4 linked regions of the Anolis sagrei genome follow. The protein of the gene in region 1 interacts with the protein of each later gene in a pairwise test. Links are inferred from orthologs where the notes say so. Each region holds a gene or a part of one and is shown in the gene's direction. Other genes may lie near its edges. The genes, in order: TNIK; TRIM2; PAFAH1B1; histidine--tRNA ligase, cytoplasmic.

Region 1 (7,105 bases):
CATGCCAGCCACATGACCTTGGAGGCATCTATGGACAACACTGGCTCTTCAGCTTAGAAATGGAGATGAGCACCACCCTCCAGAGTCGGACATGACTAGACTTAATGTTAAAAGGAAACCTTTACCTTTACCTTTAAGGGAGCCTATCACAAAGTTTTCTGGGCACTTTTTTCAAAGGACATTTACCTTTGCCACGCTCTGGATATGACTTTCCCAAGGTTTCCAAGATGAAGTGGGGATTCGAACCCAAGTCTCCAAAATCCTAATCAAACACTTGAACCAGTACATGACACTGGCCCTTTAACTGTTTTTAAAAGTGCTGGAACAATATCCATGCTTGCAGGACAAATTGTGACTCAGGAATTAACCCTCTGGAAAAGTGAAAACTTGATGAAGCAAGAGTGCTTCTGGACATGCATGGCCTTCAACATCAGCCTACACACCCCAGAGTTTACTAGAAAGGCCCCGAGCTCCTTGGAGTGGTGTTTTCAAGGAAACCCCTGCCAATCTTTTTTTTTTCAGAAACAAACTTTGAATACATTTCATCAAAGACAGAAAAAAATCAGGTGCCTCGATTATTTTATATTTTACTGCTCCTGCTAGCAGGAGGAATGCAGTTGTTTTTAATCTCACGTGTCATTGGGTGAAACAGAAAGCCCTTTTCTTTCTCCATCTGCAGTTAGACCGAAGGGAGGAATTTTGGTCACGCGTTTGACAACGGCTGCTTTTAAGGGGCCTGATTTGAATTCATACTGTTGGCATTAAATCCGAATTTATGATTCAAACAGGGAAAGGTCAGTTTGCAGAGCTCGCTATTGGATAAATTCAAAAGAAACTGCAGGGCTGGGATTAATGAAACTGAGCACAGTTTCCCTCTTTCTGATTTTGATTTTGAATTGAGAGGTTTTATTTCCCTCCCTTTCTTAAGGCATTCAGCACCAGCTCTCTCCTTTAAGGGAAAATATCTGGTGCAATCTACAGCCCATTCCAATGCTTTTACTCCAAAGGAGGCCTTATTAAATGCAATGGAAATTGCTCAGGAGTAAGGGTTACAACTGTAGCTAATGCATTTGTATTAACTCAGGGTGCATCTACACTAGGCATGTGCAAACTTGGGCCCTCCAAGTGTTTTGGACTTCAACTCCCACAATTCCTAACAGCCTCAGGCCCTTTTCTTTCCCCCCTCAACCACTTAAGGGCCCAAAGCTGTTAGGAATTGTGGGAATTGAAGTCCAAAACACCTGGAGGGCCCAAGTTTGCTCATGCCTGATCTACATTGTAGAGTTAATGCAGTTTGACATCCCTTTTACTGCCAAGACTCAGTGCTGTTGAATAACATGAGTTATAGTTTTATAAGGTCTTTAACCTTCTCTGTCTGGGAGTGTTAGTACCTCATCAAACTACAAATCCCATGGTTTCATAACATTGAGCCATGGCAATTAAAGGGGTATCAAACTGCATAATTCTGCATCTTCATATCCAAGCCCCATTGATCTCCAGTGGACAACCCCAATAAAGTATCATCTAAAGGTGCCTCCAAACTGTAGAGTTAATACAGTTTGTCATCACTTTAACTTCCATGGCTCAAAACTATGGAATCATGGAAGTCGTAGTTTTACCAAATCTTTACCCAGTTATGCCAAAGAGTGCTGATGCTTCCCCAAACTACAACTCCCAGGATTTCATAGCATTGAAACCTAGCAGTTACAGTAGTGTTGCCAGGCCCGTAGCCAGGATTTCGTTTCGGGGGGGGGGGGGGCTAAAAAATTTTCAGGGGGGGTTTTGGGGGGGGTGAGTTTCGGGGGGGGGGCTGAGTCTGAGTGAAAGAGGGTCTAGCCTAGCAAACCTTTTGTATCATTACCCCAATACCCCCATGCATATGGGATATATTGAGTATGGTGATCAGATCATGATATGAATAAACATAACAGTTTAATTAATGCACCAGTAAGGCCTTTTCGCGAACCACCATGAGAATTTCGGGGGGGGGGGCTGAAGCCCCCCCCCCCCCCCCCGGCTACATGCCTGCGTGTTGCCCTGCCTTAATTCTACAGTGCAGATGGATCCTAAGTGTGGGTTTTGTAATTCTGACGAAATCATAGAGTTGAAAGAGACCCTCAAGGACAATGCAGTTGCCATTAAAGAACACCCAATCAAAGCAGGCCAGATATTATTACCCTTATTGCTATAAATCCTTATTATGACAATGCTCCTTCAGTCTGAGAGGGCATTCTTCACTGTAGACATAAAGAGGTTTGGCCCCACTTTAACTGCCAGGGGTCCATGCAAAAGGCCATCACTCTTAGGCCCCTTTTACACGGCCATATAAAATCCAGATTATCTGCTTTGAACTGGATTATATGGCAGTGTGGACGCATAGAATGAAAATGTTTCCCATTTGGGGGTGGTGCTCATCTCATTTTCTAGGCCGAAGAGCCGGTGTTGTCCATAGATGCCTCCAAGATCATGTGGTCAGCATGACTGCATGAAGCGTTGCTACCTTCCTGCTGAAGCAGTACTTATTAATCTACTCACATTTGCATGTTTTTGAACTGCTAGGTTGGCAGAAGTTGGGGCTAACAGCAGGCGCTCACCTCACTCCCCAGATTCGAACTTCCACCCTTTTGGTCAGCAAGTTCATTAGCTCAGTGGTTTAACCCACTGCGCCACTAGGGACTCCTGTGGACTCATATAATCCAGTTCAAATCATATAATGTGGATGATCTTGTAGAAGGGGCCCCGAGACAGAAAAGGCTCGATACAGAAAAGGCTCGAAACTGCCAGGATTCCATAGCACTGAGAACAGTTAAGGTGGTGTGAAAGGTATTAGTCCTAAATCAGGCATGGGCAAACTGCGGCTCTCCAGGTGTTTTGGACTTCAACTCCTGCAATTCCTGACAGCTGGAATTCTGGAGTTGAAGTCCAAAACATCTGAAGGGTTAGAAAAGACCTTCCAGAAACACACAATCAAAGCAGACATTGTTATTATTACAAATCCTTGTTGTGACACTTGTTCTTCCTTCTAAATGTATTTGTACTTGGCCTTGACATAATCACCATCATAATGAGTGGATTGAGTATGCTTTTGGACACAAGCTGTAATGCAGCGTTTCTCATCAAGTATTCAAGCCAAGTTTGGTCCAGATCCAGCATTGCTTGAGTCCACAGTGCTGTCTGGATGTAGGTAAACTACAATTCCCAAACTCAAGATCAATATCCACCAAACCTTTCCGGCATTTTCTGTTGGTCATGGGAATTCTGTGTGCCAAACTGGGTTCAATTTCATCGTTGTTGGAGTTCAGAATGCTCTTTGATTGTAGGTGAACCATAAATCCCAGCAACTACAACTCCCAAATGAGAAAATCAATCCTCCCCAAGCCCACCAGGATTCAAATTTGGGCGCATTGGGTACTTGTGAATGAAAACACATTTTGCATATCAGATATTTACATGATGATTCATAACTGATAGGAGTTGTAGTTTTGGGAAGTGCTGATGCTTCCCAAAACTACAACTCCCAGGATTCCATAGCATCGAGACCTGGCAATTACAGTAGTGTTGCCCTGCAATAATTCTACAGTGCAGATCGAGCCTAAGTATGTGGGTTTGTGGTCATCTCCATTTCTAAACCAAAGAGCCGGCGTTGTCTGTAGGCACCTCTAAGGTCATGTAGCCGGCATGACTGCTTGGAGCACCATTACCTTCCTACTGGTGCAGTTCCTATTGATCTACTCACATTTGCATGTTTTCGAACTGCTAGGTTGGCAGAACCCTTCATAACAGCAGCAAAATTACAGTTATGAAGTAGCAACAAAAATAATGTTATGGTTGGGGGTCACCACAACGTGAGGAACTGTATTAAGGGGTTAGGAAGGTTCTGGCCTTGAGATAATAATCATTATCCTACTGAGTGGATAGAGTGTGCTTTTGGACACAAGCTGTAATGCCTGGGTGTGTTTGTGTTGTAGTGGCCAAGCCCACCGCCACACAACGCTATTGCTTGGCTCTCTTTTCCCCCTCCCCTCCCCCTCCCCAGAGAAGCGGAGGAGGCGCCGCCCCTCCCTGGTCCCCCTCCCCTCCCTCTCTCCCTCCCAGGAAGCCTCCTCTTCCTCCTCCTCCTCTTCCTCCTCGGTGACAGCTTTCTCTGCCTCTCCATCCGAGCGAGTGGAGGAGGCGAGGTGCGCCGGGACCGCACCGGGAATCGCCTCGTTATCTTCACCGGGAGGGAGAGGAGCGGGGAAACCGAGGCAGCCTCCCCACCCGGGCCAGGAGAAGCCAGCCATGCCCTCCTGAAAAGCAGACCCTCCCGAGCAGAGGCACCTTCCCTTCTCCGCCTTTGCACGCCTCTTCTTTCCCCGAGAGCGGCGCGTAAAAGTGCCCGGGCGCACTCGCCTTCGCCTCTCGTCCAAGGCGCCGGAGCTCCTGCTTCTCCTCTCGCTTTCGCTGCCCTTTCCTGGGGGACGCTGGTCGGAGGACGTGAGCGTTGAAGGAAGGAAGGAAGGAAGGAAGAAGGAAGAAGGAGGAGAGGAGGAAGGAGGAGAGGGAAAGGGTGCCGCTCCTCTCCATTGGCAGCAGCAGCAGCAGTAGAAGCGCAAGCAGGGCGCATGAGAGGGAGAGGCTGGAGGTCTCCATACAGGGACCCTCTCTTCCCACCCAGCCGAAGACGGAGGGCTTGCTGAGCTTGTGGGGCAGCAGGAGAGGCCGGAGCCCGAAGCCAGCGCCGTGGGTTTCTTCCCTGGGGCCGTTTTTCCTCGGTGGAGGAGCCCCCCACTCAACATGGCGAGTGATTCTCCAGCGCGGAGCTTGGACGAGATCGATCTCTCCGCCTTGAGGGTAAGAAGCAGGGGGGGGGGGGGCTTGGGAGGGTGTGTGTGTGTGTGTGTGAGTGTGTGGCAGAGGAGCCCACCCAGCCTCGCTGCCCCCTCCCCCCACAACAGATGTCCCCTTTCCTCCCATCCATCCAGCCTTTCCCTTTCCTCCCTTGCCATCCCAGAACTTCCCAGATGGGCACAAACTGCTCCTCTTGATAACAGCAGGGTTGTTTTTGTTATTGACAGAAAGCCTTCCCTCCTGGAAGATGTGTGGGTGTTCCTGTTCTGAATGGAGGTGGAGAGCTGTCTAGAACCCGCTGGTGATAATCAATAGTATGGGGAAAGGGCAAGAAGAGGGATCAACCAAGCACAGCTGGGAAACAGCATCTATCTCTCATCACACTAGAGAATGAATCCTCTTTAAATCCGGTTGCTGCCTCCTGCAGAATTCTGGGGTTTGTAGTATAGCGAGGCTGTTAAAGTCTCCTCCTTAAACTACAAACCCCAGAATTCTGCAGGAGGCAGAAACCAGATTTTAAGTGGATCCATTCTCTAGTGTGATGAGGTCTCTAAGACTTCATCACACTAGAGATTGAATGTCACTCCTTGTTGTTATCCCTTAATGTTTCATGTCTTCCCTCATATATGATATGAAAGGAGAGGGATTGAAGGCACATTTAAATTAAAGGTGTTTTGGATATGGTTTTGGTCACCTCTCGCCTATTCTGCTGCTTCCTGCAGAATTCTGGGGTTTGCAGTTTAGTGAGGCTGTTAAAGTCTCCTCCTTAAACTACAAACCCCAGAATTCTGCAAGAGGCAGAAACCGGATTTTAAGTGGATTCATTCTCTAGTGTGATGAGGTCTCGAAGAACTCATCACATTACAGCATGAATGTCGCTCTTTGTTGTTACCCCTTAATGGTGCATTTCCTCCCTCATATAAGATATGAAAGGAGAGAGATGGAAGGTGCATTTAAATGCAAGGTGTTTTGAGATGGTCTTGGTCACCTCTCGCCCATTCTGCTGCCTCCTGCAGAATTCTGGGGTTTGTAGTTTAGTGAGGCTGTCAAAGGCTCCTCCTTAAACTACAAACCCCAGAATCCTGCAGAAGGTAGCAACTGAATTTAAAGTGAATTCATTCTCTCGTGTGGTGAGGTCTAGATTGCTCCTTGTTGTTACTCCTTAATAGTGCATTTCCTCACACATATATAATATGAAAGGGGAGAGATGGAAGGCACATTTAAATGCAGGGTGTATTGGAGATCGTCATGGTCACCTCTCACCCATTCTGCTGCTTCCTGCAGAATTTTGGGATTTGTAGTTCAGTGAGGCTGTGAAAGTCTCCTCCTTAAACTACAAATCCCAGAATTCTGCAGGAAGAAGCAACCAGATTTAAAGTGGATTCATTCTCTAGTGTGATGGGGTCTTAGCTCCTTATTGTTACCCCTTAATGGTGCATTTGTTCTCTCATATATAATTTGAAAGGAGAGAGATGGAAGGTACATTTAAATGAAAGGTGTTTTGGAGATGGTCTTGGTCACCTCTTGCCCATTTTGAAGGTTGCTTAATGTGTCTCTTCCAAATCTAATCTTTTTCCCTCCCCTTCTCCTTCAAAATCTACATTGCTGCTACAGTATTTGGGAAAGGAACACATACAATGTGTCCAGGCATCAAAAATAGAAGCAGTAAGGTAGATGAACCAACCCCACTGCTCTCTTGACTCTTTTCCCAGTCTCAGGCTCGTTTGATGATAATATAAACAATCCTCTCTGGCATATGTGGAAAGAAAGGCGGCATGGAAATGCCCATTGCACACCCTGATGTGCCGCTATTAAGACATGTCATGGGGATATGTCTTAATGGTCATGCGTCGCTGTTGTTGCTCCGTGTGCATGCATTTTGCAACCATCTGCTCTGATGCAAGCTAGCTAGGTTGCTATTCTCACAGTGTGTGAAAGCTAAAGACAGTGGTAGTGTCCATTTTGATGAAATAGGATCGAATGCACCTTTTTAATGAGCTCTTCCATTCCTCTTGAAGGAAGAGGATGTACCTCCTGGCTGTTTTAGCCATGTGACATGCTACATACATCACATTATGGGCTGGGGGAATGAACTGAATCAGTCTTGACACAGGCAGATCAGCCTGAGTAGATACTTTGTGTCTAATACTGATATAAAAATGACATGTGTGAGCAGGGCATTGTAGGAATATTAGATGTCTTCATGATGCCTCCTGTAAATAAATTGGGGCCATAAATGTGTTGTCCTCTATTGTTCTGCTTATTCTACCATTCA
Region 2 (8,016 bases), on another chromosome or scaffold:
TGCACCAGCCAGTTAATCTGGGGAAAGTCTGGGTCAGAAATGGACTGGCCCCAGAGGTAGCAATGTGCAACATCCCAAACCTGTGTTTATGGTGGGTTGGAATGTAGATGGTCTAGTTAAGTGGTTCTCAACCTGTGGGTCCCCAGGTGTTTTGGCCAACAACTCCCAGAAATCCCAGCCAGTTTACCAGCTGTTAGGATTTCTGGGAGTTGAAGGCCAAAACGTCTGGGGACCCACAGGTTGAGAACCACTGTTCTAGTTGGTCCAAGATTGCATTGGTCTCTCTGGACTGCCATCTTAATGGCTATGTCGATATCACTGCTCCCAGACAGCTGCAGAGCTCCATTAGAGTTCTTGTTATCCTGGGCACCCTGTGCAGTTATTTGCAGTTTTGCTTGTACAACCAGAAAGAAGGACAGAGCTAATCTTCTCATCTTCTTTCACTTTATGTTGGCACCTCTGCTGATACTAGTCCAAGGTACCCACGATGGTGCCAACATGGGGATGATCCATTTCCTTTCCCATGGGCCAATGAGCACAGGGAAAAGGGCATGCCCATGTGCACTGTGACTTGTCCAAAACAGGACCTGAGTCTGTTGTCCACATTGTCTCAAAGTCATGGAGTTGCTTCAGGCAAACTCATGGATATCCCCAAAACTTTTAAACACAGGATGCTGGATTAACCCAGTTCCTCTGCACAGTCTACTAGAAGTACAGGATTGTTATGGGTACAAGCCAAGATTGGAATTATGGTGAATACAGATTATATTGCCTGTATTGATGAGCCCTGGGCAAAAGCAAATGGCTGCAACTCATCCTAGAATCATAGAATCATAGAATCAAAGAGTTGGAAGAGACCTCATGGGCCATCCAGTCCAACCCCCTGCCAAGAAGCAGGAATATTGCATTCAAATCACCCCTGACAGATGGCCATCCAGCCTCTGCTTAAAAGCTTCCAAAGAAGGAGCCTCCACCACACTCCGGGGCAGAGAGTTCCACTGCTGAACGGCTCTCACAGTCAGGAAGTTCTTCCTAATGTTCAGATGGAATCTCCTCTCTTGTAGTTTGAAGCCATTGTTCCGTGTCTTAGTCTCCAAGGAAGCAGAAAACAAGCTTGCTCCCTCCTCCCTGTGGCTTCCTCTCACATATTTATACATGGCTATCATATCTCCTCTCAGCCTTCTCTTCTTCAGGCTAAACATGCTCAGTTCCCTAAGCCGCTCCTCATAGGGTTTGTTCTCCAGACCCTTGATCATTTTAGTCGCCCTCCTCTGGACACATTCCAGCTTGTCAATATCTCTCTTGAATTGTGGTGCCCAGAATTGGACACAATATTCCAGATGTGGTCTAACCAAAGCAGAATAGAGGGGTAGCATTACTTCCTTAGATCTAGACACTATGCTCCTATTGATGCAGGCCAAAATCCCATTGGCTTTTTTTGCCGCCACATCACATTGTTGGCTCATGTTTAACTTGTTATCCACGAGGACTCCAAGATCTTTTTCACACGTACTGCTCTCGAGCCAGGCGTCACCCATTCTGTATCTTTGCATTTCATTTTTTCTGCCAAAGTGGAGTATCTTGCATTTGTCACTGTTGAACTTCATTTTGTTAGTTTGGGCCCATCTCTCTAATCTGTCAAGATCGTTTTGAATTCTGCTCCTGTCCTCTGGACTATTAGCTATCCCTCCCAATTTGGTGTCGTCTGCAAACTTGATGATCATGCCTTCTAGCCCTTCATCTAAGTCGTTAATAAAGATGTTGAACAGGACCGGGCCCAGGACGGAACCCTGCGGCACTCCACTTGTCACTTCTTTCCAAGATGAGGAGGAAGCATTAGTGAGCACTCTCTGTGTTCGTCCACTTAACCAATTACAGATCCACCTCACCGTAGTTTTGCCTTACAGATCCACCTCACCGTAGTTTTGCCTAGCCTGTCTTTTCTTCCTAATTAATTTTTTTTATTTTGATCACTCTGCTATTGCTAGGCTGCATGCACCCCAGATTTCATCTATGAAATATTGGAGAGTATAAATTTGTCTCTTGTGGCAGCCTCTAGGAATGTGAGTTTGCCCCTTTTAAACATTTATTTCACTCTTTACCATTTTTAAAACAAGAACTGGACCTCCATCCTTTCCAGTTTTCCTTTGCCTGCTTGCTTGCATGCATTATTATATTTTTGGAAGCCTTGTGACTTCTAGAGATTCCTAGGATCAGAAGGTTGGCCTCAAATCTTGCTAAATTCACTCATTTCTGCCCTATATTGTGTCCCTGCTTTCAGTTTTACTGCACCATGCCAGCTACTACTTTTGTGTGTGTGTGTCAGGAGCAAATTGAGAAACTCCAAGTTGCTTCTGGTGTGAGAGAATTGGCCGTCTGCAAGGACGTTGCCCAGGGGACACCTGGATGTTTTGATGTTTTACCATCCTTGCAGGAGGCTTCTCTCATGTTCCCGCATGAGAAGTGGAGATGACAGAGGGAGCTCATCCACTCTCTCTCTCTCTGGATTCGAACCTCCAACCTGCTGGTCTTCAGTCCTGCCGGCACAAGGGTTTAACCCATTGCACCGCCATTGGCTCTGCCAGCTACTACTGATCCTAAGACATTATGATTATTAGAAACAACTCACACTTCTAACCATTCTGATCAATAATCATGTTTTGGTTAATTGGAACCTGTATGAGTTCTAGTAAAGAATGTGTTTTACTATTGTCATTTAAAGCATTCATCCTGGAACCCAGAGACCCAGTTTACAATACAACAAAGCTTTTCAAAGATTAAGCCCACAGAAAGCCTACTGCCTTATTTAGAACATCCATGACATCAGCAATAGCAGATTGTTGGCTTGCTGTCAACAGAGGTAAAACATCAAAGCACTCCATTTTTATAGTGATGGTGCATGCACGTTCATTTGAAAAACCTTTGCTAGGAAGGCAGTTGTGTATCTTATCTGCTGAACTTGTGCCAGTCTCCAAACTAATATTTATATGCTTTCACTAACTAGTTTGAAAATAATGATCAAATCAGCAACATATAAAGTCACTTTTAGAAATAAAGACTGTTAAAGTTTTGGGAACAAAAGTGTTAGTTTACTCAGTCAATACTCATCTCCAGGCACATTCCTATCATTCTTTAAAGGTTTAACAACACCCGTAACCATATTTTTACAATGTGCAATGAAGACAAGTACACATGCAATTTCATTTTGATTTTCAGTATCTGAATTTGTCCAGGAAGATATGAGGAAGTGAACACGTTTGTTCAAATTATAGGGAGACAATGGCTATTGCAGAGGGCCCTCTTTCTTCAAAAATCTAAAGAGGTAACATGGGAAAGGAGATCTAAAAGGAACCATTGGGCCCATTTCCCAAGCTCAATGAATTCAATTGAGCAAGTTTCTATTCCTGTGCTTTGCTTTAGAGGTGTAAGAAACAAGTCTAAGGGCAGTTCCAGACATCACCAAATCACACACTTCAGTCAGGGGCAAAAAAACACTGGGACCTGAAAAGATGTCCAGATACAGACGTGTTGGTCCTGGGATTTCTGCTTCTGCCATCCACACTTGCTGCTTTGTCCCGGGATTTTGCAGCCCCCAAAATAGCCACTGCAGGACGTCCGCCTGAAATTTTAGCTTTTTTTAAAAAAAACACACATGCAGACATTCAAAGATGTGGATTTTGGGCTCAGATTCAGGATGTTCTCACACCTGAAAATCTTGTGGTTTTGCCGTTTGTGGCTATTGCTTCCATCTTTACAGGGAATGGCGTTTGGCCACCCTCCAGTTTGTTGTAAGAGCTCCCAGGATAAAGGTAATGATTGGATGGGCCCTAAGAAACAGAGATTAATGAACATTAAAAATGCATATCAAAATGGGGGAGATAGACCATATTTTAAAAGTAAATATGCTGTTTTGCAGTTCCCCAATGCACAGATCAGAATACACATATTCATTAGTATGTCCACTTCTACAGACATTTTGTGCAATTCACAATCCTCAAAATTGTGTCCAGTTGTGCATGTTGCATACAAAAAAGATACAAATACCTATGTTTTAACCATGTTTATCTTAAAAATAAATAGCAGACTGACGCAGAGGGTGGAATGGGAATCTAGAAACTTTTGTACAATAAATGTGAAATACAGAGGACTTGAAGTAACTGTTGGACCTTGAAAGAGCTGGGGTAGTGATGGCCAGCAGGGAGCTCTGGTGTGAGCTGGTCAATGAGGTCATGAAGAGTTGGAAGCAACTGAATGAATAAACAACAATACTGAGGACTAACCTATTCCTCATATAGCAGCATACCTGTCCGAACATATCTCCCTCTATGAACCATCTCGGAGGTTAAGATCTTCCGGGGAGGCCCTGCTCTCAAACCCACCTTCCTCGCAGGTGTGACCGGTGGGGACAAGACAGGGCCTGGCTCAGTGTTGGTCCCTTAGTTATGCAGCTCTCTCCCAAGTGAAATTAGATCAGCTCCCTCCCTCCTGATTTCAGAAAGAAAGTGAAGACATAGATGCAGGACCAAGCCTTTGGACAGTAATCTTCAATGCAATAAGTGATTATGGGATAGTGCAATTTATGACTGGAATGGCTCCTGGAACATACCTTTGGATTGTGTAGTTTTAATTAATTGGTTTTAAGATTGTGATGTTTTAATTATTTGGTTTTAATGTATATGTTTTCTTTTATCCTATGAACGTATATGTGGCATCAAATTGTGCCTTTTTGTGAGATGCCCTGAGCCCCCTCCGGGGTGAGATGGACGGGATATAAATAAAGTAAATAAATTAATAATAATAAAGTGTGAGTTATATCTCCTGATCAGAAAAAAAGTTGGCAGCTATTCGCCCCTCGTACATTCTTGTAGAAGAAATTGTTACTATCTCTTCAACCTCCCAAATTAGCACTGCTTCTCATTTCTTCTTCTAAGGATTACACCTAAATCCTATCAATGAGCAAGATCCCTTGGCCTTACATGACCTCAACACCTTTGTGTCCTGCTGCTTGCTGAAAGGCGGTGCTTGAGGAAGAGTACAGAGTGCCTTCACCCACAGCCTGGCTTTTCCTGATGGCTTTGAATTCTTTGCTTTTGTTTATAGGGAACAAATTTGTTTAAGAAATCTTCAGATGTAAATCAAAGCTGAACAGACGGTGGTGAGACGAGACTTTGTCACTATGTATAATCCATCAAGTTTGTGCTGCATGGCTTCCAGCAGTATGGAGATACTGCTGAGCTGAAATGTAGAAGAACACAGCCCTAAAGAAAATGAGAACAAGGTAGGATATATTCAATCTGAAATATAGCCAAAATGGGATGTCATTGGTAAAAACTGGAGATGTAAGTGGATATTTTTCTATAAATATGTACTTGATGGAATATTATGGTAAGATGTTAACAGAATTACATTTCAGTAGAGGAGAAATAATCCAATCAATTGTCTCCTCGGGGAGGAAGGTGGGGTATAAATAAAGTAAATAAATAAATAAATAAATAATATTATATCTAAATTATTCACCTATCTAGGGTTTGTTGTTGGCTTTGGTGGCAGTAGTAATATGGCAGAAACAAGTGCAGTGATATTTCAGTGCTGAGTCATTCTGTGTGTAAAAACATCAAGTCAGCTCATGCTATGTGTAAACTTGTTGTTAAGTTCAAACAATCAGTATCGTCCACTTTTTTCTGCATGATGTCATAGGAGGACATCTGAAACATCTTCCTCTTGGAAACACAGTAAACACATGTTTTCTATATCTAGTTCTTATTTAATCCAGGGCATTTAAGGACCTCATCACACAGTCATATGCACTGTTTCTGATGCCTTTTGCATACTAGTGCTTACGGCTCCTGTCACATGACACACGGTCCCTTTCATAGGAAACACGTAGGCACCTGCAGGCAACAGCATATTTTGTCAGATAGAAAACAATTCACTCCTCTCATTTTTATATTTCTCCATCCATGTCAGAGGTGAGGTTTTTTACATGTTATGAGGGGAGTGAAGTTTTATGAGGGGTATACCTATCTGCAGGTTGTCTTAACACAGTGGTTCTCAACCAGTGAGTCCCCAGATGTTTAGGCCTTCAACTCCCAGAAATCCTAACAGCTGGTAAACTGGCTGGGATTTCTGGAAGTTGTAGGCCAAAACACCTGGGGACCCATAGGTTGAGAAACACTGCCTTAACAGATCCATTGAAAGAAGTGGATTACCAGATCATGGGTTTCCCACTGAAAATCAGTGGTTTACCAAAGTTTTGGGTTTTCCATTGAAATAAGTGGTTTCACAGATCTTTGGTTTCACATTGAAAGAACTGGTATAAAAACCACCCACGTTCTGTTTCGCTACATTTGCTGTGTTTAACTTTTGCTGTTTTTTTTTTATTTTAAAAAATGGAACTGCACATCTCTGCAGGTCCAAAGAGATGTTTTTTACATTTGGATGGAGGTCACAAACATACATGGTTGCACAAGATCTACCGAAAAGAAATAAAGGGAAAGGCAGTGACATCTGGAAACATCCCACGGATTGGGAGGAGCCATCTTTCTGCCATGTGATAAGTCAAAGGCACATTATTTAATTAGATACAGAACAGAGAGAACCAAATGTGATGGGGTGGGTATGTATCCAGTGTGTATAAAGTCCTCATCAAGCCTTCTTGAAGGTCGGCTTGTGTACTTAAAAGGCATTTTCTTGTGTGCGCATGTGAGTGTGATAAGGTCCTAAGCCAAATATCCTTTCATTTGGCACTGCATACATGACCGAGGCCTATATCTCAGATTCAGAATTATTTGAAATGCCTAAATGTAATTGATTTACTTTGATGCCTGGACATTGCATGTAAGCACAAAGTTTTGTTCATGCTATTTAATCAGCATGTTCAATGTAAAGGGAATTTTTTATTGTGTCAGAAGCGACTTGAGAAACTCTCCCAAATTAACCAAGTTGCTTCTGGTGTGAGATAATTGACCATCTGCAGAGACGTTGCGCAGGGGACGCCCAGATGTTACAGTCCTGTGGGAGGCTTCTCTCATGTCCCCGCATGGGAAACTGGAGCTGACAGAAGGAAGCTCACCCTATCACGTGGACTCAAACCACCAACCTTCAGGTCAGCAGTTTAGCCAGCACAAGGGTTTAACCCATTGTGCCACCTTGGCTCATACTTAAAGGGAAATAAGGTAAAGATATAGGGATACAAGAAATGAATGTCACCACAGATCTCAACAAAATATTGTAATGGACATTACTCTCTCTGTCTCTCTCTCTGTGTGCAACTGATGTGCTGTTTCAATGTGTTAATCCCATTTTCTGCTTTTATTATGTTTTTAAATTATATTTAAATTGTTTTTACCTTTAATGATTATGAACAATATTAATTATTTAATTTCTTCTTAACTTTTGCAATTAATGTTTTAATTATGGTGAACTGCCTTAGATCTCATTTTGAGAGAAAGGCTGGATACAAATCAAATAAAAATTACACTTTTGCTTTTTCTGTGTGTTGTTTGGTAAACATTTTGTTGGTTCAACATGCTTTTTAAATCTATTGTTAGAGTCTTAAAGGATGGTTTGGGGATTTCAAATCCTCTTAGGACACTGACAGAGATAACAGGATCTATCCTAAAAGACCTTGAAAACATAAAGCTCTTTAGGTTAAACGTAACTCAAAATTTATAGTTTTGAGTTTGGTAAAGCACAGATCTTAAGAGAAACTAATATTGTCAGTCTGATCACAACAAATATGAAACACAATACAATATTATTTTTGTTGAGCCCAGGGATGTGAGGAAATTTAAGGTCATGATAGCTTTTGGATTTCTTGGGTATAGTGTGAAACAGAAAGAATCCCAATACATTTGATCAGGCTTTTCTCTCTTATTTCTAAAGCCGAGAAAATTGGCAATGCAACTTACCATATTGTTTTAATATATAGGGATGTGACTTTGGCCTTGTAGGAATTGAACTTGTTCATTTGGAACTCCTATCAGCCACAGACAGCATAACCCCCATGATGAGGGA
Region 3 (7,615 bases), on another chromosome or scaffold:
TGTAACCATCTTAGTACTAATGTTGGGAGTGGTCCCTGGCCAAAGTTGTCCCTGGCCAAGTAGTTCTTGATCAAGTGGTCCCTGGTCAAATGGCACCTGGTCAAAGTGGTCCCTGGTCAAAGTGGTCTCTGTTCAAGTGGTTCCTGGTCAAAGTGGTCTCTGTTCAAGTGGTTCCTGGTCAAAGTGGTCCCTGGTCAAATGGTGCCTGGTCAAAGTGGACCTTGATTAAATAGTCCCTGGTCAAAGGGTACCTTGTCAAAGTATCCCCTGGTCAAAGTGGTCTCTGGTCAAAGTGGTCCCTGGTCAAGTGGTCCTTGATCAAGTGGTCCCTGGTCAAATGGTACCTAGTCAAAGTGGTCTCTGATCAAGAGGCCGCTGGTCAAAGTGGTCCCTGGTCAAGTGCTCCCTGGTCAAAGTGGTCTCTGGTCAAGTGGCCCCTGGTCACGTGGTCCTTGATCAAGTGGTCCCTGATCAAATGGTACCTAGTCAAAGTGGTCTCTGGTCAAGAGGCCGCTGGTCAAAGTGGTCTCTGGTCAAAGTAGTATCTGGTCAAGTGGTCCTTGATCAAGTGGTCTCTGGCCAAATGGTACCTAGTCAAAGTGGTCCCTGGACAAGAGGCTCCTGGTCAAAGTGGTCCCTGGTCAAGTGGTCTCTGGTCAAGTGGCCCCTGGTCAAGTGGTCCTTGATCAAGTGGTCCCTGGTCAAGTGGTTCTTGATTAAATGGTCCCTGGTCAAAGTGGTCTCTGGTCAAGTGGCCCCTGGTCAAGTGGTCCTTGATCAAGTGGTCCCTGGTCAAGTGGTTCTTGATTAAATGGTCCCTGGTCAAAGTGGCCTCTGGTCAAGTGGCCCCTGGTAAAAAAAAAAGGTTGGGAATCACTGGTATAGGAGAACATGAACTAAAATCCTATTGACTTTTTTCATTGCCACATCACATTGCTGTCTCATATTCACCATGTAGCCTACATGCACTCACAGTCACGGACTATTCACAAATATGGGGTGAGGATAGAACTTTTCAGATGAGAGGACTCCCGGTTTTGCTGTTCACATCTTTTACTGCCTGCTATCTCAGTTGCAACTCCCTTTTCGTTCTTTTAATGGAGGGATTTAATGGAGGACCGGACACCAAAATGTTTGCTCAATGCCTTCTCAACCTTTCTTCTTTCCGCCTTGTTTTGACACAGGTTGCATTTATCCTCAGAGACTTCCCGATTGAAACACAGGATCAAGGAATGACGAGGCAAATCGGGTCTTGCTTTGGAAAGCGACAGACAATAAAACATAAGCGTGTCCCGCTTCCCAAAAGCCTAGCTGAATGTTGTGAAGTATTATTTTCATTGAAACACCCGCACAAAGGAGCACAAACCTTGCTAAACACACATATCTGCCTGCCACACTTAAATTATTTTTTTCGAAAAATAAATGCCATTCAGCCCTTCGCACCTCATTTGATCTTTCCTGTCTTCACACCAAGTGAGAGTTATAATACAGGCTTTAGTCATTCATTACTTTTTGACTCCTCTTCCCGACTGATAAGACGCGAAAAAACAAACAATGCTCGCAGGGATGGCTTTGTGCATCATTATTTTGTGGAGTTATTTTCCCTTCAAGTTGGCAGGGAGGCCAAATCGGTTTCCTAAGGACCATTACTGCAATATCCTCTATAGCAGCCATGGGTAAACTTCGGCCCATCAGGTATTTTGGAGGCATTTAATGGCCTTGTCGCTTCAAAGCCTGGCTGATCCCACACCTTGTGTGACTGTGGAGCAGAACAGACAACTCCACATCTGTATGCTTGTCCACTGTGCCCTGCCTCATGTACAGAGGAGGAATTGTTGGAGACCACAGACAATGCCATTGCTGTTGCCCATTTTTGGTCGGAAGATACTTAGCTGCCTGCGCTCTATTTTTATCAGTTTTTATCAGACCTCACAACCTCTGAGGATGCTTGCCATAGATGCAGGCGAAATGTCAGGAGAGAATGCCTCTAGAACATGGCCATATAGCTTGAAAAAACCGACAACAAGCCAGTGATTCCAGCCATGAAAGTCTTTGACAATACATTTATCAGTTTTATACTAATTTATGCAATGCTTTAGATACAAAATAAATAAATAACCCTGGTGGTGACCCCCAACCATGAAATTATTTTTGTTGCTACTTTATAACTGTCATTTAGCTACTGTTATGAATCTTCATGTACATATATGATATGCAGGATGTGTTTTCATTCATTGGACCCCATATGCCTTAATTTGAATCCTGGTGGGGTTTGGGGGGGTATTGATTTAGTCATTTGGGAGTTGTAGTTGCTGGGATTTATAGTTCACCAACACCAAAAAGGAAGAGAAGGACAGGCGGAGAGATCTTCAGCCTCCTCTGCCACAGGGGTATTATACCGCTATACTGCAGTATTATTAGTAATATTACATGTAATAATTATTATTGTATTATTACATTGTATCACACTATTATCAATATTAAATGTACATACATTATATTATTAGCATGGCACAATATTAGTATTATATATTACTATATTGTACTATACTACTATACTGCAATATTATTAGTAATATTACATGTAATAATTATTGTATTATTATATTGCATTACAGTATTATCATTATTATCATTGAGACATGCCGCATTATCACGGGGTGCCTGCGCTCTACGCCACTGGAGAAATTACACTGCTTAGCCGGTATTGCACCACCTAACATCCGCCAGGAAGTAGCAGCCAATAGTGAAAGGACCAAGGCAGAGACATCTCCAGCTCATCCCCTGTTTGGGTATCAGCCAGCACGTCAACGACTTAAATCAAGACATAGTTTTCTAAGATCTACAGAGACACTCGCTGGAACACCTCAACAAGCGAGAGTCCAAAAGTGGCAGGCTCAAACCCAGAACCTCAACCAATGGCTGATACCAAATGAGAGACTCCCCCCTGGGCACACAGAGGACTGGGCGACTTGGAAGGCGCTGAACAGACTGCGCTCTGGCACCACGAGATGCAGAGCCAACCTTCGGAAATGGGGCTACAAAGTGGAATCCTTGGCATGCGAGTGCAGAGAGGAGCAAACCACTGACCACCTGCTGCAATGCAACCTGAGCCCTGCCACATGCACCATGCAAAGGACATTTAATCAACTACCAAACTCACAAATTTTGTATTTTGTCTGGTTTTTTTGCTTTGTTCTGTTAGAAATGTAATACAATCGACTGGTTGCACTGACACGATAAATAAATAAATAAATAAATTTATATATAGATAGAAGATATATATATACATACAATATATTATTAGCATTGTCGAAGGCTTTCATGGCTGGAATCACTGGCTTGTTGTAGGTTTTTTCGGGCTGTATGGCCATGTTCTAGAGGCATTCTCTCCTGATGTTATCTGTGGAATGATGTTTCGTCATTCCACAGATATATAAACCCTTTTTCCTACTTCCAACAGACCTCACTATCTCTGAGGATGCTTGATGTAGGCGAAACGACAGGAGAGAATGCCTCTAGAACATGGCCATACAGCCCGAAATAACCTACAACAACCCTATTATTAGCATAGCACAATATTAGTTTTTTTTCGTGTTGTGCAGTGGGTTAAAGCATTGAGCTGCTGAGCTTGTTGATCGAAAGGTCGCAGGTTCGATTCCGGGGAGCGGCGTGAGCTTCCGCTTTCAGCCCTAGCTTCTGCCAACCTAGCAGTTCGAAAACATGCAAATGTGAGTAGATCAATAGGTACTGCTCCGGCAGGAAGGTAACGGCGCTCCGTGCAGTCATGCTGGTCACATGACCTTGGAGGTGTCTACGGACAACGCCGGTTCTTCGGCTTAAAAATGGAGATGAGCTCCAGCAGACAAGAGTTCTTTGTCCCACCCTGGTCATTCCACAGATATATAAACCCTTTTTCCTAGTTCCAACAGACTTCACTACGTCTGAGGATGCTTGCCATAGATGCAGGCAAAACGTCAGGAGAGAATGCCTCTAGAATATGGCCATACAGCCCGAAATAACCTATACAACACTATTATTAGCATAGCACAATATTAGTTATTTTAGTGTTGCTCTTTATTTACTGTCCTGATTTTGGAGGTATTTTTGTAATACTGGTTGCCAAATTTTGTCCATTTTTAAGGTTTCCTCCCCAGGGAGCAATCAGCCAGGCTTTGAAGCTACAAGGCCATTAAATGCTAATCAAATTGTCCATATACTTGTGGTTTTCAGTGGCTTCTCTGTGTAGCCTGCCCTGGTGGTTGTGAGAGTGGTCCAGCATTTCTGTGCTCTCCAATAATAATAATAATAATAATAATAATAATAATAATAATAATAATAGGCTGTGCCCAGGCTGGTTCCTCAAGTGCTGTTCTGAGTCTCTGCCCGCGCGAGGCATGCCGGGAGCCTTTCCCCCCTCTGCCAAGATGGCGCCCACTCCCTCCCTCCCTCCCGCGTTCCCTCCCTCCCTCCTTCCGCGCAGGCGCACTCCTCGAAGCGGGCCGCAAGCCGGGGCGAAAGCCACGCCCCCGACAAGATGGCGCCGGCTGCCTCCGCCGCGCAAGCGTAGTCTGCCCGCGCTAGGCCACGCCCACTTCCTCCCCCTCCTTTCCCTCCTCCTCCTCCTCCTCCGGCGGGCTTCCTCCATCTTCTTTCTCCTCACAAGCCGGCAAAAGGGGAGGGGGCCCCGAGGCCTGTCTCTGGCGTGGCCCAGCCGCCGCCCCCCTTCCTTCCTCACAAGGCACCCGGCTCCCTCTGTGAATGGGAGCGGCCTCGGCGGCGGAACGAGAAGGAAAACACCCCGTTTCGGGTAGGTCAGTCAAGCCGGCTTCCACAGGGAGACAGGGACGGGAAATCGAGCCAGGCTTCGTCTCCCTGTTAGGCCTCACAGGGGAGAGGAGGCAACAAGGCCCCGCCGCCTCTCTCCTTCCCTCCCTCTCTCCCTCCCTTCCCCTCCTCCTCCTCCTTTCCAGCTCGCTCTCAAAATGGCCGCCGCGCCCGTTGATATGGAGAGTCAGGCAAGCAGGGAGGGGAGAGGCAGGGAGGGAAAGGGGACACTTGCTCTTCACTTCCTCCCCTTTCTCACCCCCAGCGTCGCCATCATGGCGCCCCCCCCACCCTCCCACAACACCCCCTCCCTCCCCTGCCTTTGTATTTCCATCCTCGAGGCTCCCATCTCCCCCACCCCGAATCTTTATTTTCATTGTTTCCACAGAAGAGAGACAGAAGGATCTCTGTGTGAGAGGGAGAGGGTGGATCTCTATATCTCTTAGCTATCTCTATCTATCCATTATCTATCTCTATTTTGATCCAAATGCGAAAATTATATGGAGAGGATGGATAGTCTATATCTATTATCTATCTCTGTTTGTATCTATCCATTATCTATCTCTATTTTGATCCTAAAGCAAAGATTATATGGAGAGGATGGATAGTCTCTACCTACTATCTATCTCTATTCGTATCTATCCATTATCTATCTCTATTTTGATCCAAAGACATGGGTTATATGGAGACGTGGATAGTCTATATCTCTTTTGATCCAAAGACAAGAGTTATATGGAGAAGATGGAGCTCTAGATCTATTATCTATCTCTATTTTGATCCAAAGGCAAGGTTATATGGAGAACATGGATAGTTTATATCTCTCTTTATTGATCCAAAGGCAAAGATTATATGGAGAGGATGGATAGTCTATATCTATTTGTTTGTATCTATCCATTATCTCTATTTTGATCCAAAGGCGAGGGTTATATGGAGAATATGGATAGTCTATATCTCTTTTTTTTGATCCAAAGGCAAAGATTATATGGAGAGGATGGATAGTCTATCTATTATCTTTCTCTATTTGTATCTATCCATTATCTATCTCTATTTTGATCCAAAGGGGAGGGTTATATAGAGAACATGGATAATCTATATCTATTATCTATCTCTATTTGTATCTATCCATTATCTATCTTTTTTTTATCCAAGGGCGAGGGTTATATGAAGAGGTGGATAGTCTATATCTATTATCTATCTCTATTTGTATCTATCCATTATCTGTCTCTGTTCTGATCCAAAGGCGAGGGTTATATTGAGAACATGGATAGTCTATATCTCTCTTTTTTGATCTAAAGGCAAGGGTTATATGGAGAAGTGATAGTCTATATCTATGATCTGTCTTTATTTGTATATATCCATTATCTATCTCTGCTTTGATCCAAAGGCGAGGATAGATACAAATAAAGATAGATCATAGATATAGACTATCACTTCTCCATATAACCCTTGCCTTTGGATCAAAAAAGAGAGATATAGACTATCCATGTTCTCCATATGACCCTCGCCTTTGGATCAAAATAGAGATAGATAATGGATAGATACAAACAGAGATAAGGAATATATGGAGGGGATGGATAGTCTATATCTATCTCTCTCTTGGTCCAAAGACAAGGGTTTATATGGAGAGGATGGATAGTCTATACCAATTACCTATCTCTATTTGTATCTATCCATTATCTATCTATCTCTGTTTTGATCCAAGGGTGAGGGTTATATGGAGAGGATGGATAGTCTATATCACTCTCTTTTGATCCAAAGGCAAGGATTATATGGAGAGGTTGAATAGTCTATATCTACTATCTATCTCTATTTGTGTCTATCCATTATCTATCTCTTTTTTGATCCAAAAGCGAGGCTTATATGGAGATAATGGTTAGTCTATATCTCTTTTTTGATCCAAAGGCAAGGGTTATATGGAGAGGTGGATAGTCTATATCTATTATCTATCTCTGTTTTGATCCAAAGGAGAGAGTTATATGGAGAGGATGGTTAATCCACATCTATCTCTGTAGATTTCTGTTTTCTAAAAGTGAGGTTAATGAGAGAGGAAAGTCTATACCTGTTTCTGTTTATAGCTGTTACCTATTTTTATATAAAAAAAGTGAGATGGAGAGGTGGATAGTCTCTGCCTCATCTATATATGTTTTGTCTGTCTCTATATGTCTCTTTTTATCTCTTACCGATTTTTTTAAGGTGAGGTTTCTGAGATGAAGAGAATAGATCGTTTGTATCTATCTCTATACTCCTTTAGTTCTATATCAGTGGTTCTCAACCTTTTTTTGGCCATGGACCACTATCTGACATTAGTACCAAAAAGGTTACAAATCAGTTTTTGATCAACTTTAGATTCGGTTTGGTTATTTAGTAATAAAATAATACAACTTTATTTGTATACCGCCCTATCTCCCCAAATGGGACTCAGGGCGGTTTCCAATATATAAGGCAAAACATTCAATTGCCAAGAAGAAAATCATACAGACAGATTAAAATAAAATTATTCAGAAAATAGCATTGGATAGACCCCCACCAGCTCTAGTTTCTGATACAGAAAATATGCCATCCAGTAGTCACCATCTCCTCACCCACAGAAAATCATATTTAATAAGCCTCGGCATTATAAGAGGGTTTTGCAAGACCAGTCACACTCATTGCAACAGTGTAGTAAGGGTGAGGCCACGGACCATATTTTAGTGCTTGTGGACCACTAGTGGTCCATGGATCACAGGTTGGGGACAGGTGCTCTACACCTATTTCTATCTAGCTAGTTCTGTATTTTTACTATGTTTTA
Region 4 (7,335 bases), on another chromosome or scaffold:
TTGCAACAAGAGCAACTGATCTCGCGAAACCCTCTTATAGTGCCAAGGCTTATTAAATATGGTTTTCTGTAGACAATCAGATGGCAACTACTGGATGGCATATGTTCTGTATCAGAAACTAAAGCTGATGTGGTCTGTCCAATGAGATTTTCTAAATCAGCACCCCAAATAACCAAACTTGAATCTAAAGTTGACCAAAAACTGATTCATAACCCTTTTGGTACTAATGTTGGGAAGTGGTCCCTGGTCAAAAAAAGGTCAACAGCGAAAACTTCCATGCCATTCTCTGTAAATCCCAGGGTCTGGCCTATGCTATATCGTGATTATCAATGAATAAATTAATGGTAACTCAATGACTTGAACAATTTCAGCAATTAGTATTTATTGAATTTCAGTTTCTAGTTTTATTCAATTTAAAGCAATATTCTAAGCTTTAGGAACCACTAGTATATTTTTCTCATAACTAAAAACAAGGTATTGAGAGATTTAAAGGGATAAAGAAACAGTTTACCATTACAGGGAACTGCAGCGTTGAAATAATATTTTTAAAAGGAGTATAAGATTTACTTGAAGTTATTGGTAGCTGTTGGTGGATTTCCATTGTCCCCTGCAGTGTGGGGTAACAGCATGTAATGAGGTATTGTGACATATTGCATATATTTTGGAAAGTAATGATACAATCTGGATCTGAGTGATAATTTTAATCAATGTCAAAGTTTTGAACACTATGTACATTCATCTGTGCAATGTTGAGGCTTGGCTAAATGAAAGAAATAGAAAAGCAATGGCAACTTCAGGTAAAGCATGAAGAAGCCTAGTAAGTTTAGAGGTGGTCTATTCATGGATATGACCAGATCATGGTCAATCAGACATCTGCATGGACATAATTTTCAGACTGCATAAGTTGTCAAATCTTTATGTTGATAAATTTCACAATGAACTTAATTTAGTTTTCTCTTTTAAGCATGACAGCTGTGTAAGCACTTTAGCTTCCCTTCATACATTTCCATAGCTATCAAGGAGAATTTTGAAGGCCAATCTATTTGTGTCTACTTCTGACATAGCATTTTCTGTCTGGTACAGTACATCTCAATGGAGATTTTTTTTAATGCTTTGTCATTTTGGCAGTCCACAGTGTGTGCAAAACACTCCTCCAGCATCATATTTCAAATTAAATTTCTATCTTACTGACAGCTTTCTTCACTGTCCCAGTTTTTGATAACTATTATGGAAAAATAGGACTCTCAAATCCACAACCCGGAAGAGTCTGACCAGATGGCCACAGGGGGTCCTGACAGATGACGACCTTTCCCCATATACACAAGCACACAGAAACATGGGGGCTAATTTCATTACTCCTCCCGGAGTAATGAAAAGCCATAGCATATCTTTGTTATTACACTATGTAACATGGTTTTTGTTCCAGTTGGTTCTATCAGAAAAACATGAAAAAGGTTTATTCAACTACAAAAGCTTTGTTTTTGCAGGACATCCTGCAGCACACTTTGCTATAGTTTTTCAATGAATATCTCAGAGTCTCAACCAATTCAACATAGTTTTGGCAGCCACAAAAACAAAGTTTCAGAAGCATAACAACTACTTTTAAAACAAGTACTGCACAATTAAACAAAAAAAAACCAGTACTTTCAAACCAGGAACAGAAAAAAAAATCAAATTTTGTTACATAGTGTTATCTGCTTGCAACATGCTGCTTCTAGTATGCAAGCCATTTGCAGCTGATATTTCTTCCTCCAATTTTCACTATTTCTTCCACTGATTCTAAACTGGTTTTAAGAGGTTCACGGTATAATATTGCCCCTTGCCTATTGGAAACCATTCTGTTTCTACAATATTCTATCTTAACAATAACCTCTTGTCCTGAATACAGGTTGTGCATCATGATCGTCAAATGTTGTTGCCCACCCATTTATTTAACAGCAGGTCCATATTTTTTCATAATCTATATTGGTGTTTCTCAAACTGTGCTCCTCCAGGTATTATGGACTTCAGCTCCCAGAAATCCCTGCCAGCATACCAGGTGTTAGGAATTGTGGGAGGTGAAGTCCATAACATCTGGAAGAGCACGGTTTGAGAAACCGTGCAATCAATGGGTTTGCTATTCCTCTGAAAGGCTCTGGTGCGCTCCATTATCCAAAGTATGTTTTTCCAAACCTAGATTCAACTTCCAACAATCTATATATGGTGAATGTTGAGAAATGCGTGGTAAAATTTTGAGCATCCCTTTACTTATATGCAAAAACAAGATGATGCATATCAATCCAAGACAATTTTTAAGGAGGTTTCCTAATTTCATACCACTTGTCTGCAGTGAAATTCTAAATTTTGGACGGCGGGTTCTCTTTTAAGAGAGAAAAAGCAGGTTATAATGATGATGATTATGATGATGATGATTATGGCTTCAGAAGTTTTTTAAGTGAGCCCCAGGGCCCTTCTACGCAGCCCTTTATCCCAGAATATCAAGGCAAAAAATCCCACATTATTTGACTGTGGACTCAGATAACCCATATTGTGGGATTTTCTGCCTTGATATTCTGGGATATAGGGCTGTGTGGAAGGGCCCTTAGGCCCCATCTACACAGCCATATAAAATCCAGTTTATCTGCTTTGAATTGGATTATATGACAGTGCAGAGTCAGATAATCCACTTCAAAACAGATAATCTGGATTAATTTTGAAAAACCTGATTCTATAGTAGTATAGACCCAGCCCCTGACCCCTTCAACACTGCCATATAAAATCCAGATTATCTGCTTTCGACTGTATTATATGGCAGTGTAAACTCAAATAATCCATTTCGAAGCAAATTATGTGGATTATTGGGTTTGATAATCTGAATTATAGGAGCCCCCGGTGGCACAATGGGTTAAACCCCTGTGCCGGCAGGACTGAAGACCAGGTCGCAGGTTCGAATCTGGGGAGATGAGCTCCCTCTATCAGCTCCAACTCCTCATGAGAGAAGCCTTCCGCAAGGAGGATAAAACATCAAAACATCCGGGCGTCCCCTGGGCAACGTCCTTGCAGACGGCCAATTCTCTCACACCAGAAGCAATTTGCAGTTTTTCAGGTTGCACCTGACACGACAAAAAAAAATCTGAATTTTATGGCAGTGTAGAAGGGGCCTGAGTGCCCCTTGAGGAGCATGTCTACACAGTAGAATTAATGCAGCTCCACACCACTTCAACTGCTATATATTAATACTGTGGGATCCTGGAGATTCCATTTTTTCAAGGTCTTCAGCCTTCCTCTGACTAGGACCCCTTCCACACAGTTGTATAAAATCCACATTGGACTGGATTATATGGCAGTGTGGACTCAGTTAATGCAGTTCAAAGCAGATAATGTGGATTATCTGCCTTTGATATTCTGAGTCATATGGCTGTGTGGAAGGGACCTAAGGCCCCTTGAGTCTAGACTGGCATAGAATCCTTGTGATCTGCTTTGAACTGGCTTATATGAGTCTACACTGCCATAGAATAGTTTTTAATCGTGTGGTCTTATTGTTAATGTTGCATTATTGTATTGTCCATGTTTTATTTTTAATTGCTTGTATTGTTGTTATTACTGTTTGTATTGTTGTATTCGGGCTCGGCCTCATGTAAGCCGCACCAAGTCCCTTGGGGAGATGGTAGCGGGGTACAAATAAAGTGTTGTTGTTGTTGTTATTATTATTATTATTATTATTAGAATTCTCATTATCTGCTTTGAACTGAATTACAGTTCAAAGCAGATAATGAGTCTACACTGCCATAGAATCCTCATCTGTTCTGAACTGGATTATATGAGCCTACACTGCCATAGAATCCTCATTATCTGCTTTGAATTGGATTATATGAGCCTACACTGCCATAGAATCCTCATTATCTGCTTTGAACTTGATTATGAGTCTACACAGCCATATAATCCAGTTCAACGAGGCGGCCAAAGACTGCTGGTGCCTCAACAAACTACATCCCATAGCATAGAGCAATGACAGTCAAAAGTGGTGCCCAACTGCATTAATTTCACAGTGTAGAATAGATGCACCCTCAAATCTTTCCAGCTGTTTCTGTGATTCTATGAACTGGCTTGACTTTCAGGCGTATCCGGGACTGTATTATTCAAACTAATGGAAAAGGAAGGTCGATAGAGAGAATGCAGGCAGGGATCACAGGGTGACTACAGAACTGACGTCACTTCCCTTCTTTGACTCCTTTGCCATCCCAAAGCCTTGTTGCATCACCCGATACAGACGAGAGCGGGTGGCTTCTTTGTAAAGCAATGCGCATGCGTGGGGCGGGGATAGGGATGCTGCCTGCGCATGCGCACTGCAGTAGAGGCTGGCCCTGAGCAGAGTCGCCGCTTCTTTGCGTCTTGGTGGCCGGGCGGCGCGGAGGCCATGGCGGAGGGGGAGTCGGCGCTGAAGGCACAGGCGGAGCTGGTTCGGCGCCTCAAGCAGGAAAAAGCCAGCCAGGAGGAGGTGAGGGGACCAGGCAGTACTCTAGGTCACAACCTGTGCCCCTGGGTGTCTCTACACTGTAGTATCAATGCTGCTTGATACCACTTTGGCCGCCATGGCTCAATGCTATGGAATCGTGGCAGCTGTAGTTTGGTGAGGCATCAGCACTCTTAGGCAAAGAAGGCTTAAAAGACTTTGTGTGACTACAACTCCCAGGATTCCATAGCATTGAGCCATGGCAGTCAACGTGGTATCAAACTGCATTAATCATACAGTGTAGATGGCCTCTCTGATGGCAGGCCCTTGCACATTGCTCTGCTTTTTCCACCACTTATGCATCATTGAACTATCTCCTTTAAAAAAAATCTATGTGTCTGTATAGCCACACTTGTGTTGTCTATTTAGTCTCCATATGGAAAGAAAAAGCAGGATATAAACAAACATAATATTATTATTTATGTGGTCAGTATGTATACTATGGGAAAAAGTAAAGAGAGTCGCTGTGAGTTTTCTGGGCTGTATGGCCATGTTCCAGAAGCATCCTCTCCTGACGTTTCGCTCACATCTATGGCAGGCATCCTCAGAGGGTGTGAGCCAAGCTTTGAAACTGCAATGCTAATCAAGGTGACCAATTGCAACATTTACACTTTCTCCCACCCTGGTTATTCCACAGATATATCAACCCCACTTGCCTAGTTTCCAACAGACCTCACAACCTCAGGATGCCTGCCGTAGGTGTGGGCAAAACATCAGGAGGGAATGCTTCTGGAACATGGCTATACAGCCCAGAAAACTCACAGCAACTCCCTTTACTTTTTCCCATAGTATATATCAGTGTTTCTCAACCTGGGGGTCGGGACCCCTGGGTGGGTCACGAGAGGGTGTCAGAGGGGTCGCCAAAGACCATCACAAAACACAATATATTCCGTTGGTCATGGGGGTTCTGTGTGGGAAGTCTGACCCAACTCTATCGTTGGTGGGGTTCAGAATGCTCTTTGAGTGTAGGTGAACTATAAATCCCAGCAACTACAACTCCCAAATGTCAACAGTAGCAAAATTACAGTTGTGAAGTAGCAATGAAAATAATTTTATGGTTGGGGGTCACCACAACATAAGGAACTATATCAAGGGGTCGTGGCATTAGGAAGGTTGAGAACCCCTGGTATATATAGTGATCACATTATTATTATTATTATTATTATTATTATTATTTTACTGACACAAAACACAGTATGTCATAGCAAACAAGATCTCTATGCTGGATTTCGTATCACAAAATCACAAGTCAAACACTTCCCAAGCGTTTAAGACTGTGATGTATTTTTGAATGATACGTGATTATTGTTATTATTATTATTTGAAACACAACAAGATGAGTCCACAGCAGATGCTATGCTGGCTGTTATATTGGCTCACACGTCGGACACTTCCCAAGTGTCTAGGACTGTGTGATGTATCAGCGAATAATGCATGCAGATCCCAGTAAGGTGGCCTTTTGCAGCTGGCAGAGGGTAATTTTGTCAGTGCCGATTGTGTTTAAGTGCAGGCCAAGATCTTTAGGCAGTGCTGATCACCACTGGGACCACCTTGACTGGTTTTTGCCAGAGTCTCTGCAGTTTGATCTTTAAATCCTTGTATCGTGTCAGCTTTCCCAGTTGTTTCTCTTCAATCCTGCTGTCGCCTGGGACTGCAAATACTTATTATTATTATGACTATTATTATTATTATTATTATTGGGTTGTAGGTTTTTTCAGGCTATATGGCCATGTTCTAGAGGCATTATTTCACCTGCATCTATGGCAATCATCCCCAGAAGTTGTGAGGTCTGTTGCCATAGATGCAGGCGAAATGTCAGGAGAGAATGCCTCTAGAACATTGCCATATAGCCCGAAAAAACCTACAACAACCCAGTGATTCCGGCCATGAAAGCCTTCGACAATACATTGTTGTTATTATTATTATTATTATTATTATTTGTTTTTATCCTACTTTTTCTTTCCATAGAAAGACTTGTCGACCGCTGCATGTTATACGGTAGACTCCTGCAGAAGTGAGAGGGTCTCTCTTGTCCTTTGCTGAACTTAGCATTTGTTCAGGAAGGATCCCCTCACCGCTGCAGGAGTTTACTATATACCATGCAGTTGTCGACAAGTCTACATAGGGACCACCAAACGCAGCATTGCCCAAACACAAATCAAGGAACATGAAAGGCACCGCAGACTAATTCAACCAGAGAAGTCAGCCATAGCAGAACATCTGATCAACCACCTGGACACAGCATATTATTTGAGAACACAAATGCTGGACCACTCTTAACAACCAAAGAGACTACACGGAGAAACCATTGAAATCCACAAGCATGTGGACAATCTCAACAGAAAGGAGGAAACAAACCATGAACCAAACCAAAATCTGACTACCAGTATTAAAAAACTCTGAAATCAGGAGAGTAAACAAAGAACAACATTAAAAGGGGGGGGGGGCGTAATTCCAGACAAGAATCAATCAAGTCCAACTAACACCTCCCAACAAATGATTCCCCCAAGCAGGAAACAGCCAGGCTTTGAAGCTGCCAGGCTATTCACTGCTAATCAAGATGGCCAGTTGCAACATTCACACTTGCCTCCAACAGACCTCACGACCTCTGAGGATGCCTGCCATAGATGTGAGCGAAAAGATAATGCTTCTGGAACATGGCCACACAGCCCAGAAAACTCACAGCAACCCAGTGATTCCGGTCATGAAAGCCTTTGACAACACAGTGGTGTAACCTATATATTGGTTAAATTCTTCTCTTTCAGATTGCAGAACAGGTTGCAAAGCTCTTGCAAATGAAGGCAACCATATGCCCAGAGGATGGGAAGCATAAGTTTGTGCTC

The links.
Region 2: the proteins of TNIK (region 1) and TRIM2 interact in a two-hybrid assay, tested with the Homo sapiens proteins (2 studies listed by BioGRID and IntAct). The link is inferred for Anolis sagrei from reciprocal best matches to the Homo sapiens genes TNIK and TRIM2.
Region 3: the proteins of TNIK (region 1) and PAFAH1B1 interact in a two-hybrid assay, tested with the Homo sapiens proteins (2 studies listed by BioGRID and IntAct). The link is inferred for Anolis sagrei from reciprocal best matches to the Homo sapiens genes TNIK and PAFAH1B1.
Region 4: the proteins of TNIK (region 1) and histidine--tRNA ligase, cytoplasmic interact in a two-hybrid assay, tested with the Homo sapiens proteins (2 studies listed by BioGRID and IntAct). The link is inferred for Anolis sagrei from reciprocal best matches to the Homo sapiens genes TNIK and HARS1.

Annotation. Positions count from the first base shown.
Region 1 is NC_090023.1:252,620,768-252,627,872, reverse strand, and holds the start of TNIK (TRAF2 and NCK-interacting protein kinase), read left to right. Parts: upstream 1-4,089; 5' UTR 4,090-4,776; coding exon 4,777-4,833; intron 4,834-7,105. UniProt on the Homo sapiens protein: Serine/threonine kinase that acts as an essential activator of the Wnt signaling pathway. Recruited to promoters of Wnt target genes and required to activate their expression. May act by phosphorylating TCF4/TCF7L2.
Region 2 is NC_090025.1:51,265,594-51,273,609, forward strand, and holds the start of TRIM2 (tripartite motif-containing protein 2), read left to right. Parts: upstream 1-5,009; 5' UTR 5,010-5,278; intron 5,279-8,016. UniProt on the Homo sapiens protein: UBE2D1-dependent E3 ubiquitin-protein ligase that mediates the ubiquitination of NEFL and of phosphorylated BCL2L11. Plays a neuroprotective function. May play a role in neuronal rapid ischemic tolerance.
Region 3 is NC_090031.1:25,959,075-25,966,689, reverse strand, and holds the start of PAFAH1B1 (platelet-activating factor acetylhydrolase IB subunit beta), read left to right. Parts: upstream 1-4,601; 5' UTR 4,602-4,810; intron 4,811-4,961; exon of another isoform or gene 4,962-5,018; intron 5,019-7,615. UniProt on the Homo sapiens protein: Regulatory subunit (beta subunit) of the cytosolic type I platelet-activating factor (PAF) acetylhydrolase (PAF-AH (I)), an enzyme that catalyzes the hydrolyze of the acetyl group at the sn-2 position of PAF and its analogs and participates in PAF inactivation.
Region 4 is NC_090024.1:136,427,550-136,434,884, forward strand, and holds the start of histidine--tRNA ligase, cytoplasmic, read left to right. Parts: upstream 1-4,322; 5' UTR 4,323-4,396; coding exon 4,397-4,477; intron 4,478-7,257; coding exon 7,258-7,335. UniProt on the Homo sapiens protein: Catalyzes the ATP-dependent ligation of histidine to the 3'-end of its cognate tRNA, via the formation of an aminoacyl-adenylate intermediate (His-AMP). Plays a role in axon guidance.